2 linked regions of the Styela clava genome follow. The protein of the gene in region 2 interacts with the protein of the main gene of each other region in a pairwise test. Links are inferred from orthologs where the notes say so. Each region holds a gene or a part of one and is shown on either strand. Other genes may lie near its edges.

What was found.
Region 1: the proteins of DNA topoisomerase 2-binding protein 1-like (region 2) and protein CIP2A homolog interact in a two-hybrid assay, tested with the Homo sapiens proteins (2 studies listed by BioGRID). The link is inferred for Styela clava from reciprocal best matches to the Homo sapiens genes TOPBP1 and CIP2A.

What each region holds. Positions count from the first base shown.
Region 1 is NC_135253.1:5,664,626-5,673,005, reverse strand, and holds the start of protein CIP2A homolog, read left to right. Parts: upstream 1-5,380; 5' UTR 5,381-5,554; coding exon 5,555-8,380.
Region 2 is NC_135257.1:5,646,110-5,653,861, reverse strand, and holds the start of DNA topoisomerase 2-binding protein 1-like, read left to right. Parts: upstream 1-4,297; 5' UTR 4,298-4,378; coding exon 4,379-4,453; intron 4,454-4,702; coding exon 4,703-4,817; intron 4,818-5,644; coding exon 5,645-5,829; intron 5,830-6,329; coding exon 6,330-6,511; intron 6,512-7,352; coding exon 7,353-7,546; intron 7,547-7,752. UniProt on the Homo sapiens protein: Scaffold protein that acts as a key protein-protein adapter in DNA replication and DNA repair. Composed of multiple BRCT domains, which specifically recognize and bind phosphorylated proteins, bringing proteins together into functional combinations.

The DNA of each region.
Region 1 (8,380 bases), on a different chromosome or scaffold from region 2:
GGGTCTTACTACTTACTGAATACAGCGTGAAACACCGCAAAGAGCGCAAAACAGCGCAAAATAGCGCGAAACAGCGCAAAAGAGAGGAAAACAGCGCGAAACAGAAGGAAACCAGCGCAAAACAGAGGGAAACAGCGCAAAACAGGAGACGCAGTCATTACCACCTCCAGTATTATATATACGCTTTGGTCATTACCACCTCCTGCCACGAAAGAACCACGGCGCCTCTCGCCATGGTTTTATGGCGCTATTTCCGGCATATTTACAAGGTTATGTACCGGATTATAGGTCATCATGCGAAATTTTATCTACCTTTTTGGTACTCCAGAAGTATGTGCAGCAATATGTCGCACAACCTGAATCCGCTACACACACACACACACACACATACTATTTTTAGGTTGTGCGCCATCTTGGTGCACATACTTCTGGAGGTCGCTTTTCACCTAACCCTAACCCTAAAGCCAACCATATCCATATGGAAAATGTTCTGAATTATGGTACCCAAAATGTGTCACCAGCAGGGGCAGACCTGCCATTACAGCATTACTAGCTACATACGTTGGTTTGTGTTTTTAATTTGCTGCCGTGGTACTCCAACTCAAAACAAGGTGCCCCGAACTCATTGCAAAATTTTTTTCTGCTTTACACTGTTTCCCTCTGTTTTGCGCTCTTTCGCGCTGTTTCCCTCTGTTTTGCGGTCTTTCGCGCTGTTTCCACACTGTTTTGCGCTGTTTCCCTCTGTTTTGCGCTGTTTCGCGCTGTTTTGCGCTCTTTGCGGTGTTTCGCGCTGTATTCAGTAAGTAGTAAGACCGGTGTTTAAGGCTGTAAGGTGTTGATTAGGTCGTCATACAATTCATCGAATTTTAGTATATTTAGTAATATAATATTATGTAGAATAAAAGTAAAAAATTGTTTTATTGTACGTGCTATCCAAACGGAAACATACATGTGTACGGGACGGACTAAAAGTAGGCACTTGCAAATTAGGCACTTTTTTAGGCACTCATTTAGGCACTTTGGAAAAAAGTAAAAAGGGCGTAATACCTTGTAATAACATAATTAATTAGTTAAATATGGTCAAATTAAATGTTGAAAACGCAAATTGCAACGGGCAAACTCAATAGCAATATTTAAAACGCAGTATTAAAGGCAGTCGCACGCGCTTGGTCACCACATAAGCTAGGCACTTCGAAAAATAAATAAAATGGCATATTCACTAATAAAAGAAAGAGAAATAAAAATATTACCCACACTGATTAGCCTGAGTAAATATCTAAGAGATGCACTTGAGTCCAGTACTGGAGTTTAGAAATAATAAATTGTTACCGGTAGGCACTTTTTTAGGCACTTATTTAGGCACATCGAAAAAAAGGTGAAATGGACGTAGTAACTCCTAGAAAGATAATGAATTAGTTCAAAATATTTAAATTAAATGTTGAACGCGAAAATTGCAACAGTTAAACCCAATACTGTAATGATTTTTAAAACGTAGTACTAAAGGGAGACGCACGCGCTCTGTCACCACATATGCTAGGCACATATTTAGGCACTTCGAAAAATAAAGAAACTGGCAATTATCACTATTAAAAGACAGGGAAATAAAAATATCACCCACACTGATTAGCCTGGGTAAATATCCAACAGATGCACTTGAGTCTAGTACTGGAATATAGAAATAATAAATTGTTACCGGTAGGCACTTATCTAGGCACATCGAAAAAAAAGGTGAAATGGACGTAATAGCTTTTAAAAAGATAATTAATTAGTTAAAAATTGTCAAATTAAATGTATAGCACGCAAATTGCAATGGGTGAACCGAATAACAATATTTAAAACGTAGTATTAAAAGGAGTCACACGCGCTCGGTCACCACATATGCTAGGCACATATTTAGGCACTTTAAAAAAAGAAGAAAATCGGAATTATCACCAATAAAAGACAGAGTATCAAAAATTTTACCCACACTGATTAGCCAGGGTAAATATCCAATAGATGCACTTGAGTCTAGTACTGGAATTTAGGAATAATAAATTGATACCGGTAGGCACTTATTTAGGCACTCCGAAAAAAAGGTGAAATGGACGTAGTAACTCCTAGAAAGATAATGAATTAGTTCAAAATATTTAAATTAAATGTTGAACGCGAAAATTGCAACAGTTAAACCCAATAACGATTTTAAAACGTAGTATTGAAGGGAGACGCACGCGCTCTGTCACCACGTATGCTAGGCACATATTTAGGCACTTCGAAAAATAAAGAAAATGGCAATTATCACTAATAAAAGACAGAGAAATAAACATATTACCCACACTGATTAGCCTGGGCAAATATCCAATAGATGCACTTGAGTCTAGTACTGGAATTCAGGAATAATAAATTGTTACCGATGGGCACTTCGAAAAAAAGGTGAAATGGACGTAGTAACTCCTAAAAAGATAATGAATTAGTTCAAACTATTTAAATTGAATGTTGAACGCGGAAATTGCAACAGGTAAACCTAATAACGATTTTTAAAACATAGTATTAAAGGGAGACGCACGCGCTCTGTCACCACATATGCTAGGCACATATTTAGACACTTCGAAATATAAAGAAAATGGTAATTATCATGAATAAAAATACAGAAAATGAAAATATTAGTCAAAATTATTAGCCTATTTGAATATCCGATGAATGCACTTGAGTCTAGTAGTGATATTTGAGAATAATAAATTGTTACCGTTAGGCACTTTTTAGTCACTTGTTTAGACACTTCTAAAAATGCGTAAAATGGGCGTAATAACTTTTAAAATGATAATGAATTAGTTTAAAATATTCAAATTAAAAAATTAATATGCAAATTGCAACAAGTAAACCCAATGATATCGGTTTTTATATTCTGCATATTTGAAAATATATTAATTCTTTACTTTGTAATTTTGTTTTTGATAAATTAAAATATAAGACATCCCTCGAAAAAAAGCCCTAGTGGTAATTTTAGGAAGAAATTTGAAATAAGACACTGTCTTAATTTCGGGGAAACACGGTAAAAGGTGTCTACCGGTAACAATTTATTATTCTCAAATACCACTACTAGACTCAAGTGCATCTATTGGATATTCACCCAGTTCCAGGCTAATCATTTTGACTAATATTTTTATTTTATTTTTTTTTATTGGTGATTATTCCCATTTTTTTTTCGATGTGCCTAGCATATGTGGTGACAGAGCGCGTGCGTCTCCCCTTAGTACTAAGTTTTAAAAATCATTATTGGGTTTAACTGTTGCAATTTTCGCGTTCAACATTTGATTTAAATATTTTGAACTAATTCATTATCTTTCTAGGAGTTACTACGTCCATTTCAACTTTTTTTCGATGTGCCTAAATAAGTGCCTATCGGTAACAATTTATTATTTCTAAATTCCAGTACTAGACTCGAGTGCATCTATTGGATATTTGCCCAGGCTAATCAGTGTGGGTAATATTTTTATTTCTCTGTCTTCTATTGGTGATAATTCCGATTTTCTTCTTTTTTCGAAGTGCCTAAATATGTGCCTAGCATATGTGGTGACCGAGCGCGTGTGACTCCTTTTAATACTACGTTTTTAATATTGTTATTCGGTTCACCCATTGCAATTTGCGTGTTCAATATTTAATTTGACAATTTTCAACTAATTAATTATCATTTTAAAAGTTATTACGCCCATTTCAACTTTTTTTCGATGTGCCTAAATAAGTGCCTAAAAAGTGCCTACCGGTAACAATTTATTATTTCTAAATTCCAGTACTAGACTCAAGTGCATCTATTGGATATTTACCCAGGCTAATCAGTGTGGGTAATATTTTTATTTCTCTGTCTTTTATTAGTGATAATTGCCATTTTCTTTTTTTTTCGAAGTGCCCAAATATGTGCCTAGCATACGTGGTGACAGAGCGCGTGTGTCTCCTTTTATTACTACGTTTTAAAAATCGTTATTGGATTTAACTGTTGCAATTTTCGCGTTCAACATTTAATTTAAATATTTTGAACTAATTCATTACCTTTTTAGGAGTTACTACGTCCATTTCACCTCTTTTCCGAAGTGCCTAAATAAGTGCCTACCGGTAACAATTTATTATTTCTAAATTCCAGTACTAGACTCAAGTGCATCTATTGGATGTTTACCCAGGCTAATCAGTGTGGGTAATATGTTTATGTCTCTGTCTTTTATTAGTGATAATTGCCATTTTCTTTTTTTTCGAAGTGCCTAAATATGTGCCTAGCATATGTGGTGACCAAGCGCGTGCGACTGCCTTTAATACTACGTTTTAAATATTGTTATTGAGTTTGCCCGTTGCAATTTGCGTTTTCAACATTTAATTTGACCATTTTTAACTAATTAATTATGTTTTTAAAAGGTATTACGCCCTTTTTACTTTTTTTCCAAAGTGCCTGAAAAAGTGCCTAATTTGCAAGTGCCTACTTTTAGTCCGTCCCCCCATGTGTACCTACTACCTACCGAGCAGTGGAGTAAACGCCTACGTACCATGCGTTGCGCCGAGAAAAACAAGTGAAAACATCAACATACAGGGATGCGAGGTGACGCTCATGAGCTTATCAGTCACTTTCGTGGGATTCCAGTATGATACGATACTGAAGAAAAAATTGTGTTTATTGCAAAAACAAAATATGTATATTACACAACATGATATGAAATTGGAAAGTTTACATCTAAAACATTGATTAAACAATGCGCGGTCGTATTTTGTTTTAAGAAAATCTGGCAACTCAGTTGAGGAAACACAGCCCGGTGAATTTGAAAATCGAAACAAGAAGTCTCGGGAAATGATGAAGATTGTGGTTGAGTCGTATCTTTTTGTGCGACGGTCTTATGATATTTCTTTATCAGCTCTTCATTGAGATTTTCTGATGTACTTAAAAACCTCAAAATCGTTGTCATTTAGGTCATGGTAGTTATAACTACGTTAGTACGGCGGAACCAGTAACTTATCGTTAGTCAGTCACGGCACCGTACCGGTACCGGTATTTCTGTATTTAAGCAGTTAAACTGGGAAAGTTTTATTATTTGTCAACCAGGAAAAAACAGTCATGATATAATAATAATGATGAAGCAATAAGAATAACGTTTCTTTAGCCAGAGTCATGATTGGAAATCACTTACCGTTATTGCTGTAGCCTATATTGCATGCAAAAAATAATTATTGACAAAATATTCAATAATAGTCAAAATTCAAAAATTTTCTCCAGACAATAAAAGTTAACAAGCTCATAAATATTACTTATTGTTTTTCAATAAGATTTGTTGATCTGTGATCTTCATGAAAATATTAGTACAAGGGATAGCAATATAACTAATTTTGAATATATCCGATTCGTTTTGGACATTTCTAATTACCCAAATGCAATCAAAGTAAAATATAATTATAGTTGTATACTGAACTGTACTAGACCCTATTTATCTACTGGTCATGTTTTGGTAGTTATTAATTATATTGTTGAAAATATCTCACAAATATAAACCATCACCGTTTTGCATCTAGACAACTAGTATTCATCATAGAAAATAGGGCCATGGATGGACGAGGAATGGATGTCGACCTTGCATCAAATGTCAAGTCATTGGCAATGGGAATCACACAATATCAATATCATAAATCAGAAAGTAATCTGTCTCATGTACTTCGCCATACTGAGGTTTTGCTCGGGGCATTAAACATGCATTCATCACACCAGCTTTTCAATTCAAGAAGTGTTCTTGGTTCCGAATGTATCGCATCAATGGTAAAGTTGATATCAGATTCTACGACGGATTCCCATTTATTAAGTAAAATAGTTGAGCTACTCAATACAATTTCAAAAGTCACAGATGTATGCTCTCATCTCCAAGAATCATTCAGCTTGGCTTCTGTGCTGTGTTTGTATATTGTACAACACTGTCAATTAGAACATTGTAGTCACATAATGCCCTCTGCTCTATTGCTTCTGGAAAAAGTTACATATGCCAGACCTATATCTTCTGGTATAAGTCATCTGAATCAATTATTAACATATATTTTACAAGAAATTGAAAAAGGAGAAAGTGATACTGGCCTTCCATGCTTGAGGGTTTTAAACAATCTAATTGTGAACAATATGTCAATACAGATTCAAACCAAAGCTCTTATGAATTCAAAAAGAACAAAGAATTTCATGTTGTTATTGAAGCATGGAGTATCTCAACAAAGTATTTTGTCACTTTCGATTCTAACGTGTATATTTTGGGGAGATGATATTGCCAAAAAACTATACAGATCTCAGAATTGGTTTAAGGCAATGAAATTAATTTTTTCCACTTTGAGTGGATATGTGAATTCAGATGCATTAACAGTAGCGGCTGATTTATGTACGGAACTTTTGAAACATGGAGAAATAGCTCAGCAACTTGCTATGTACGAAGAAGAAAATAGCTGCTCTACTAAGTTGTTTGATCATCTCAGTGAGGTACCGCGATCTTCATCAAAGATTCTTCAGGTTATTTGTGCTTTTTGTCACATAGGTTTGGTTCGATCAAGCATATGCCAGCGAATTTTAAAGGATGATATGCGTTGCTGGAAAATATTGTTAAACGTTGCTAGGGCTGAAAAACACGATCTATCAACATCATTGGAAAACTCACCATCACTTCTCGCTCTTGATTTGGTGAAAGAAATGTGTGAGGAAGTTGTAGAATCTGCAAATGAACCAATGAATGAGTGGACAAACTATCTATTTGCTACGTTAAATATCCACTTATCACAACCATTTCATAATGATCCTTCCCAGCTCAAGTTCTGTCTTCTTAAAATTTTAAAAAGTTTGCAAATTTTGCTTTGCCTATCATCTGAAGATGATGATTTACTATCAAAAGTTGGCAAGAATGTGAATTGTGATGTTTTAGAATCTGTACTTGAACATCAACTTACTCAAAATCTTACTGGAATTGTTACAACACAACCTGATTGGAGTGAAATCGGAGTTGATGTTGTTTTAACCACACTCGAGTTAATGCTCAAGGTGAAGCATGTTGTGCCAGGATTGGAAAAAGTAATGTATAAAACTTTACAAGAAATAAGAATGGTGCCATTTCTTGTTGCTGCTTTATCCAGTGGTAAAAGTAGTAAAGTTCAATGTGCTTTGCGCCTTCATCAAGAAGCTTCTTCTTTACCTGACTTTCCTTCAGTTTTACTCGGTGAAAGGATGGCTGAAGTCAATAATAAAAGAGAAAATTTTAACAGTGGTATTAGAATGCACAAGATTTCAGTACATGATGCATCAAAGGATTTAAAGACTGTGCAGTCTAATTTTGATCGACCTGATGCTATCTGGAATGATGTACATCGCACCAATGTTCTTGACAACATAAGCGTCGCTTCTGTTTCAAGTAGTTCTTCTTGTGAGGATAAAGAAAATCTTGATTCGCTAATTAACAAAATGCAGGGTAAATTGCAGGTTGATAAAAAACTGTCTGGAAGGACATCACAGATAGTGGAAATGTATGAACAGAAGATATCATCTCTCCAAACTAAAGAAAGCCACTTGCAGGATCTACTTGATGCTAAAGCTCTAGCACTTGCCCAGGCTGACCGGGTTATTGCTCAAAATAGATGTCAACGAATACAATCTGAAGAAGAATCAAGGAGATTGGCTCATATGCTGCAAGAATCTGAGATTAAATGTGAACACCTACTTTTGGAGATTCAAAGAGTGGAATCGAATCAGAAAGATGTTGAAAAAGAGCTCGAATCTACTGTGGAAGAAAACAAAAATTTGCAAAAAATAGCAGAACAATACGATAGCTTGCAAGCGGCGTTTAACGATAAAAAACATAGAATTGAAGTGCAGGAAAGAAATCTGGCTGCTCTTTCCCAAGAGTATGACACATTAAAAGAAATGCATGATATGTTCCAAAAACACAATGAAAAATTGAAACAACAGATGAATGAAGGGGTACATAGACTTGAAGAGTTGGAAGAAGAGAGGTTAAAACTTCTGAAAGATGCAGGGGACAAACAAATGCAAATTCACGAACTTGAAGGTCTTGTGATGGAGAGTGAGAAGGTTGCAAGACAACTTCTTGATGAGAAATCAGAGCAAGAAGTTTTAATCAAGAATTTGAAGTCGAATATACAAAACTTAGATGAGGAAGCAAAAAGTCAAAAGATAAAGCTTTCTTCTCTTGATCGAACTAAACAACAATTGGAACATCAATTGAAAGAACGTGGAAATGAAATTAAAAGACTTCATCAGAGAAATGATACACAAGAGAAAAAGGTTGTTTCTTTATATTCTGAAAAAGAAACTCTTACTCAAGAAATTTCAACCAAGGATGATGAAATTAAGAAACTTCATGAGAAGTTAACAGAACAGAAGCAGACTTTC
Region 2 (7,752 bases):
AAAAGGAAAATCTTTCTTCAACTCATCAGAAAACTTGTACTTTCTTTTTGGCATTTCGACAACCTAACGACATTGCAGTTAACGCCAGAAAACGCATTAAAACATATACCAATTGTGACATAACAATAGAGCGATTTCTCTCTCCGAACTAGCAAAGTGTGTCGCAAAACAGTGGTAAATGGGCTGTCACCGTTAAAAAGAAAATTGTGATAATAATGAACATAATTTTTTTACCCATGAAAGCCGTGCTGACAAACCGGGACATTTGATTCAACCGGCCGGGACGCCGGGACAGCTTGTCAAAACCGGGACTGTCCCGGCTAAACCGGGACGTATGGTAAGCCTATAATGAGAGATCATCTTGATGCTGCAACTGTTTCGAAAGGGACATCTAAGGATATCCAAAATGATTTGCTCGACTCAATGTATAAAATTTATTTACAACATTTGGCTCTGGAAATTGAGAATTGCCAGTTCCTTTCGATTCAGTCTGACGAGACAACTGACATCACGTGCGTTTCCCAACTGGCTGTGATTTTTCGGTTTGTGAAAGATGGTAAACCTACCGAGAGATTTCACAGCTTTGTACCAATCGTTGATCGCACGGCTTGCGGGATATCGGCTGTACTGAAAGAAGTGTTACAGCCTTACAACGCGAAGTCAAAATTGATAGCTCAAACTTATGACGGCGCGGCAGTCATGAGTGGGTCGAAACATGGTGTTCAAGTTTATATAAAAGAAGATTTTCCTCATGCGCATTTTTTACATTGTTATGCACCCCATTTTAACCTCGTTATTAAAAATATGTGTCTTGATACCCCTCTCGTCCGTATATTTTTTGCAAATGTTTCGGGGTTTTCTTCATTTTTTTCCGTTTCGCCGAAGCGCTCTGACCTCCTTCGCCAGATATGTAGCCGCCGTCTCCCAGCTTGTGCACCAACACGTTGGAACTTCCAATCACGCGTGGTGCAGGGCGTGTCCGAAATTAGGTCTGAGCTCATTGAGTGTTTCAATGGCATTCAGAGCTCTCCGGTTTGGGACGAACGCTCTGTGAGGGAGGCGGCAGGTCTAAAGCGTCTGCTAGAAGATGGTGAGTTTTCATTTTTTCTCGCTTTTTTCTTCACAATATTCTATCACGTGGATGTATTATACGGCGCATTGCAGCCAAGGCTAACAGATGGAGCGTCTGTGCAGTCGTGTATTTCAGACTTCTGCGATGCTGTATCTGGTATCCGAGAAACAATAAAATACGACGACACATGGAGTGCTTCTTTACGCCGCGGGCAAACAACGCAGCGTTTGATTGTGTCTGCAAAGGAATGCTGTGACATTCTGGTGAATCAAATAGGCGATCGTCTGCGCACTGAACACCTTGCCGCGTTCTCTTTGATGAACCCCAAAAATTTTTCAAAATTTGCACGTCAATTTCCCATCCATTTGTTGGCTACTGTCTCCAAATTTTACCCCATGATAAACGTGGGTAAATTGGAAAATGAATTGCGATGTATATACACCAATCAAACTTTTTTGAACATCACATCAACTTGCGCGCTCTATGGGTTCCTCATAGATAACACTCTAGTAACTACCTTTGCGGCGTCTGCAAAATTTCTGGACATCATTTTGACGACGCCTATTTCTTCCGCCGACGCAGAGCGAACATTCAGCACGCTGAAGCGTATTAAAACGTATCTCAGAAACACAATGAAGCAAGATAGATTAAATTCCTTGGCTGTTTTATCCATTCACAGAGACGTTATTTCTGGGATGCATGACTTTAATCAGCGCGTTATTGAGCATTTTGCTTCCAAGAAACCGCGGCGTGTTGCATATATGTTCAAGCAGTAGAAGTCTAGCAGCATATATATCTATGAGTGAGCGACGCATGTTCTTATCTTTGCATTACCTTTCCTTTCTTCATAGTAACGTTTTAAACCTTATTTTAGGTTTTGTCTGCTTTCCCGAAGTTTCTGTTAATATGTCATTGTATTTATCTGGGTAAATATTGCCTTTCCGTTTGAAAGAGGTTTCAAAATAAACTATGTCTATATTTATTGATCCCTTGATTTGGACCGGTTTTGAAGACACTTTCTTATCGTTAAAAATTGTCGCTTTTGCCGATTGGTTGTTACCGATGGAATGGTTTTTATACTCATAAAATGATGGGAGAACTTACAGCGCTCATCCTGTCCCCGTAGATGGGGGTGACTTGGTCCAGCAGTAGCTTGCCCCGGTTGTCAAAATGACCACGCGCCGCCACTAGTAGTGGTATATATTTACGGTCTGACCAAGGTCTGGCTGACCAATGACATTGGGCTGACTCAAACTGTAAGCGTGGATGACTTACATTATTTGGCTTTATATTATTCGATTCCGAACCTGCAACGAAACTGATTGTAGTGTTGAAACAATTCATCTTTACTGCTTGTTATGCAAAACTGTATGTGTTGGCTATGCGCATTGCAAAAGACACTTCGAGAAAAAACATGTGAGAAGAGCCGTCGTATATCAACATTATAAATGTCCGAGATTCAAACTAGATGATCTAAGACAGAACAATATTAACAACCACGGGTTCACATGGAAATCACGCAGTGATTACTAAAACTGAACGACGCCTGGGAGTATGCAACAGAGGATCTGTCGATTTTCAATAATGATTCCATGAAAAAAAATGATAAAATAAAACTAAATCTGAACGAGGCCTGTGTGAATACACCAGACCTGACGATCACCCAAAATTCAATATTGAATCCATGAATCAACATCAAACCCAAAATAGAGATCAAGATGTGCTATTGGAAAAATGACCACTTGTCCAGTATGCAGAAAGGAAATGTGCTCAAGAAGGAAATGTGTCTGGAATGAGTCACAGTTCGTTGGAAATCATATTACAGTTTTTCAATCCATAGTTCTTGTTATTGAAAAAAACTGTAAGCTTATTTTAATTGCATCGAGTGCAAAACTTAACAGTTATTTCAGCCAACTTTCTCATTTACACAAAGTCGCTTTGAAAATTGTAATAGATACCTAACAAATTAGTAGTTGACGTAGCCAATTTTGTAGTAACATAACAGACATAGCAAGCATCGCCATTTTGGTAGAGACATAACCATTTTAGAATGGACATACCTTCTTTGTGAGGACATAGCAATTTCAGTACGAACATAGCCATTTTCACAGAGACATGGCCATTTTGGAAGTGACATAGCTTTTTTGAAATGGATATAGCCATTTAAGTAGGGCCATTGCCACTTTAGTTGGGACATAGTGGGCATCGGCATTTTTGTAGGGACATACTCATTTCAGTCCATTTTACTAGAATCATAGCGGGATCATTTTAGTAAGGACATAGCCATATTAATAAGGATTTGGCGGACATAGCCATTTTAGCAAGGACATAGCGGAAATCGCTACTTTGGTAGGGATATAGCCATTTTGGAAGGAACATAGCGAAATCGTGAATTTAGTAAGGATATAGCCATTTTAGTATAAACACAGGAAACATAGCCATTTAGGGTGTACATAGCTATTTTAGCGGAGACATATTGTATATATAGGCTTTGGTGTACATAGCCTTTTTAGCGGGGGCATGTGATTTCTACCGTAGTTGGTGAAAGAGTAATTTGGTAATACATTTTTGGTTTGTTTCTATGATCACATAGGCTATATCTTTAAGAGTATTTTTTAAACAATAACAATAATATTTGATTAGTCGTTTTTTGTATAATCATGGACCTTTCCCCGAGCATCGACTTTCTTGTTTACTTCGTGACATTGGCCAATCAGCAAGATGCAACAAGTAACGTAACAATGCCCGCTTTTTACATCCGCCCAGACACTTTTCTCACTCAGACAGATTTTCAGACGTGGTTGTGAACATCACCTCGTTTTCGCGTTTTCGAACTATATTCGTTAGTTTTCAATTGTGTTTTGGAAATTTAAATGTAAATCGGATAATCCAACGATCACTATGTATTTTTAAAAGTTTTAATTTATTCGCAGTAATGAAGAATTGGTGTAGAAATAGCTGTGATAGACTAGTCTAAAATTTCTTACTGGTACTTTTAAAAAACTGTTCATTGTACGCGATGAATTATATATAATAAGGGTTTTAAACAAATACCCCATTTACAGGGGCCAACTCGCGGAACTACTCCTAAAATGAGCCCCGCAAATTTTGCAATGGTTAAGAATAGGAAGAATTTTTCTGGTGTCAAAGGTCAAGAAAAGGTCTTAAATTCTTTTTTAATGTCCGGTTAAATACTGTCACCAGGGACGCCATTGAGCAGAAAGGGGATGTTTGGTTCCCGGCGCGAAATTTCTGAGCAGTTTAACACAACTCTGCAACTAGGCTAGTTCTTTTAATGCCGTATTCATGTCTTCTCGGAATGAAGTCCGATTTCTTGCATTCACTGAAGAAGGGAGAGAGAATGTTGAAGCAGCTCACAAAGTAAGTCAATATCGGTACCGCATTTTTGCATTTTGGACAGGATATTATTCACATAACGGTATTTATCCCGGGGATAGGAAACCCGAAAACACAGAAACACGGCCTAAATATGTTTATAGTTCAGTAGTCTGGATAATGCTGACGTATTGCAGGAATAGGGTTTTTTCTGAAAAATACAGAAATATAAATTATAATTCTCAATTGAATGCGAGAGCAGCTCAATAAATACAGAAATATGACTTTTCACAGCTTGCTTCTGAGAATAAACTTAAGTGTACATGGGTGACTGTAGAAGAAGTGAATAACTTGGAAGATTCTAAGGACAGCAAGGAAGAAATTGTGTATGTTGCTGATCCAATTGAAGGTAGGCCTAAGCCTGTGTCTGTATTTTAAAATAGAAGAATATTTTTTGTTTTACCTGTGACTGTTTGGAAAAATATGTAGACTATGTTATTTCCAGATTTTTTAATGTGATTTCGTTTTACGTGTTCTACCTTCTCATTTAAATTTGGAATTTTCAAAATTTGAGGCAGTAAGATTTAGTTGCTCTGCTGATTCTGTAATCAGTTTTTATTTGTTTGTTTTCATCAATTGTTTTGTTTATTATGCTGATTATGAAGTCAAAATTAACTTATACTTATGATTCCTAGATACATGTAAAGAACAGTACGTCACAGTTTACTGATTCCAGAAAATCCAATTAAAAGACAACAATTATAACAGTGAAGGCAAACCCGACCTTTACGAGACGGTTTAAGTCTCCATATCGCAACATATCGACACACCGGTACTGTGCAATATTCTAATAGGAAGCGCAGTCTAGAAATAGCACCATCCTCAGAAAAAAATTTTAACAGAGCATTCGATCGGAAGATTTTAGCAAAAACGCATTTGCCGTTGTGCAAGACATCCTCGTTTTAGAAACAAATAGAGTTTTTATTTCATTGAATCAAATGTTGGCCAATCTTAAAAATCGGGAAACTGTGATCTACTGACTTATGTTATATAACAGTCTTATGTAGTTCATTTATTTCAGTAATTGATAAACAAATAATTAATTTGCTCCTTAAATTGAACAGACTTATTGAGGGCACAGTGACTTTGGTTCATTATATGATCAAGCCATAATTATTATCTTTCTTCTCTCTCTCAAGAAGAAAAGAATCCTTTAAATAACTGAATATTTTCCAGGTCCTGAAGTTGGAGATGTTATTGACCATCTTGTGAATCTTAACTATCCTGTACTTGGTCCACAATGTGCATTGACTGTTCTAAAACATGGAATCAGACTTCAAGATGATTTGAAATATCCTCTTTATACTCTCACATTGCTTAATACAACAATTTGTTTCTCAAATATTCAAAATGAAGAAAGAGTATGTGTATTATTATTTGTAGTGAAGATACTATCGTTAACTTTTAAATATAAACATCTATATTCGGACCAATTTACTGGGGAAAGGGGTTGTTTTTAAATTTACATTTGAGAAAAAAAAAATTGTATACATAATGCTATAATGACAGATTTTTTACCATCGATTTTATTAGTGATAATTCATTGTAATATTTAATCATTATGCCTTCAAAGGAATCTTCTTAGTTATTTATATACTAATCATATTGCTATAAATTACAGAAGTCAGTATGCAAAGAGAATCTGCTATAAGCATAATAGGTCATTATTTGTGGAGCTTTGCCTCTGCTTTATTTACATTTTTTGGTATTTTGTTAGTGATCCACTTTGATTTTAATTTATTATTATCACTTTTATTTGAATTTTCTGATATAAATCAAATCAAGTTTCAGTATTTATCACTAATATCACCAGTACATTCCTTACATAAAAAGTGATTGCCTTTATAATGCTTTTGTGTAGATAGAACTTGTGCATCTAGTTGAACTTATGGGTGGAAAAGTGTCACGACCATTGCATTGTGATGTCACTCATCTTGTTGTTGGTGAAGTCGGTTCTGTCAAATATTTTACTGCAGCTTCAATAAATATTAAAATTATGACAAAGGAATGGATATATCATTTATGGAAGCATGGAATGTCTAGGTATGACAGAATTCGATCAGTGATAACAAATATACGCCTGTGATGTCTGTATAATTTATATGAAATTGATGATACCGTGTTTCCCCGATAATTAGACCTCGCCTGAAAATAAGACCTAACCTGGATTTTAGAAAATATTTTAAGATAATCTCTCCCTTTTTAAATAAGACTTAGTGGATAGCGCGAAATTTTTTTGACCTAGTCTTATCATATTTTGTATATTTGAAAATCTTGTAAATATCTACTTTATAATTTTGTTTTTGATAAATGAAAATAAAAACATCTTTCCAAAAGAAGCCCTAGTGTTATTTTCAGAAGAAAATTGAAATACAACCCTGTTTTAGTTTCGGGGAAACACTGTATATATTTATAAGTTCTTATCCAAGAATCAAAATTTGAGATGAACACTTTTTTTATAGTATTTATTTACAAAATAGGTCCATGAATACGTCCAATGTACATGATAAAATTTGGAATGAAGAGTAACATCCTTTTCACACAATGTGTTTATTCACCTTTTTACTCTGACCTAGGCTCTGAACGATCACCCAAGCTATGTAAGGAGGTTCTATAGTTTGGCGGAACCGGAATATTTCTAATTCCTCATTGTCAGCTCAATTTGTGACACCTTGGGTAAGGTGGTGCGCACAGGACTTGAACCCAAGATTTTAACTTTAACCAAGCTTTGACTTTTATCACTACATAGGAATGCCAGTATTTGATTTTTTAAAGTATTATTTTTGACTTGATATAAGATTCTAATATTGTAATATTTGGATTTGTCCAGTTTCATCTGATTTAATTATTTTTATTTAAGCTTAATAAATATTTTTTGTTTTAGGTATATTTGTGCTAAAGATGGCAAATGGGAAGAATTTTTGTGCCCGATATTTCTTGGATGTAAAGTTTGTATGACAGGTTTTGGAACAACTGAGAAAACCAGAGTTCAAAAATTAGTCACGAAGTTTGGTGGAGATTATAGTGGAGCAATGAAGTTGAACTATACAACTCATCTTATTGTCAATAAGCCAGAAGGTTGAATTATTCTTCATTTATATACAAAATCATATGTGCACTTTATTTCGGTGTGATTTGTTGAGTATAACCCAGGACAATGCATTTTTTCATCACAGAATATATACTTTAATTACCTATTTTAGTTTGGAAAATTGGAAATTATCTTAGTTCGGAAAATTGGAATAATATATTCACCTGAATGTATAATACATTTATTCTTTATT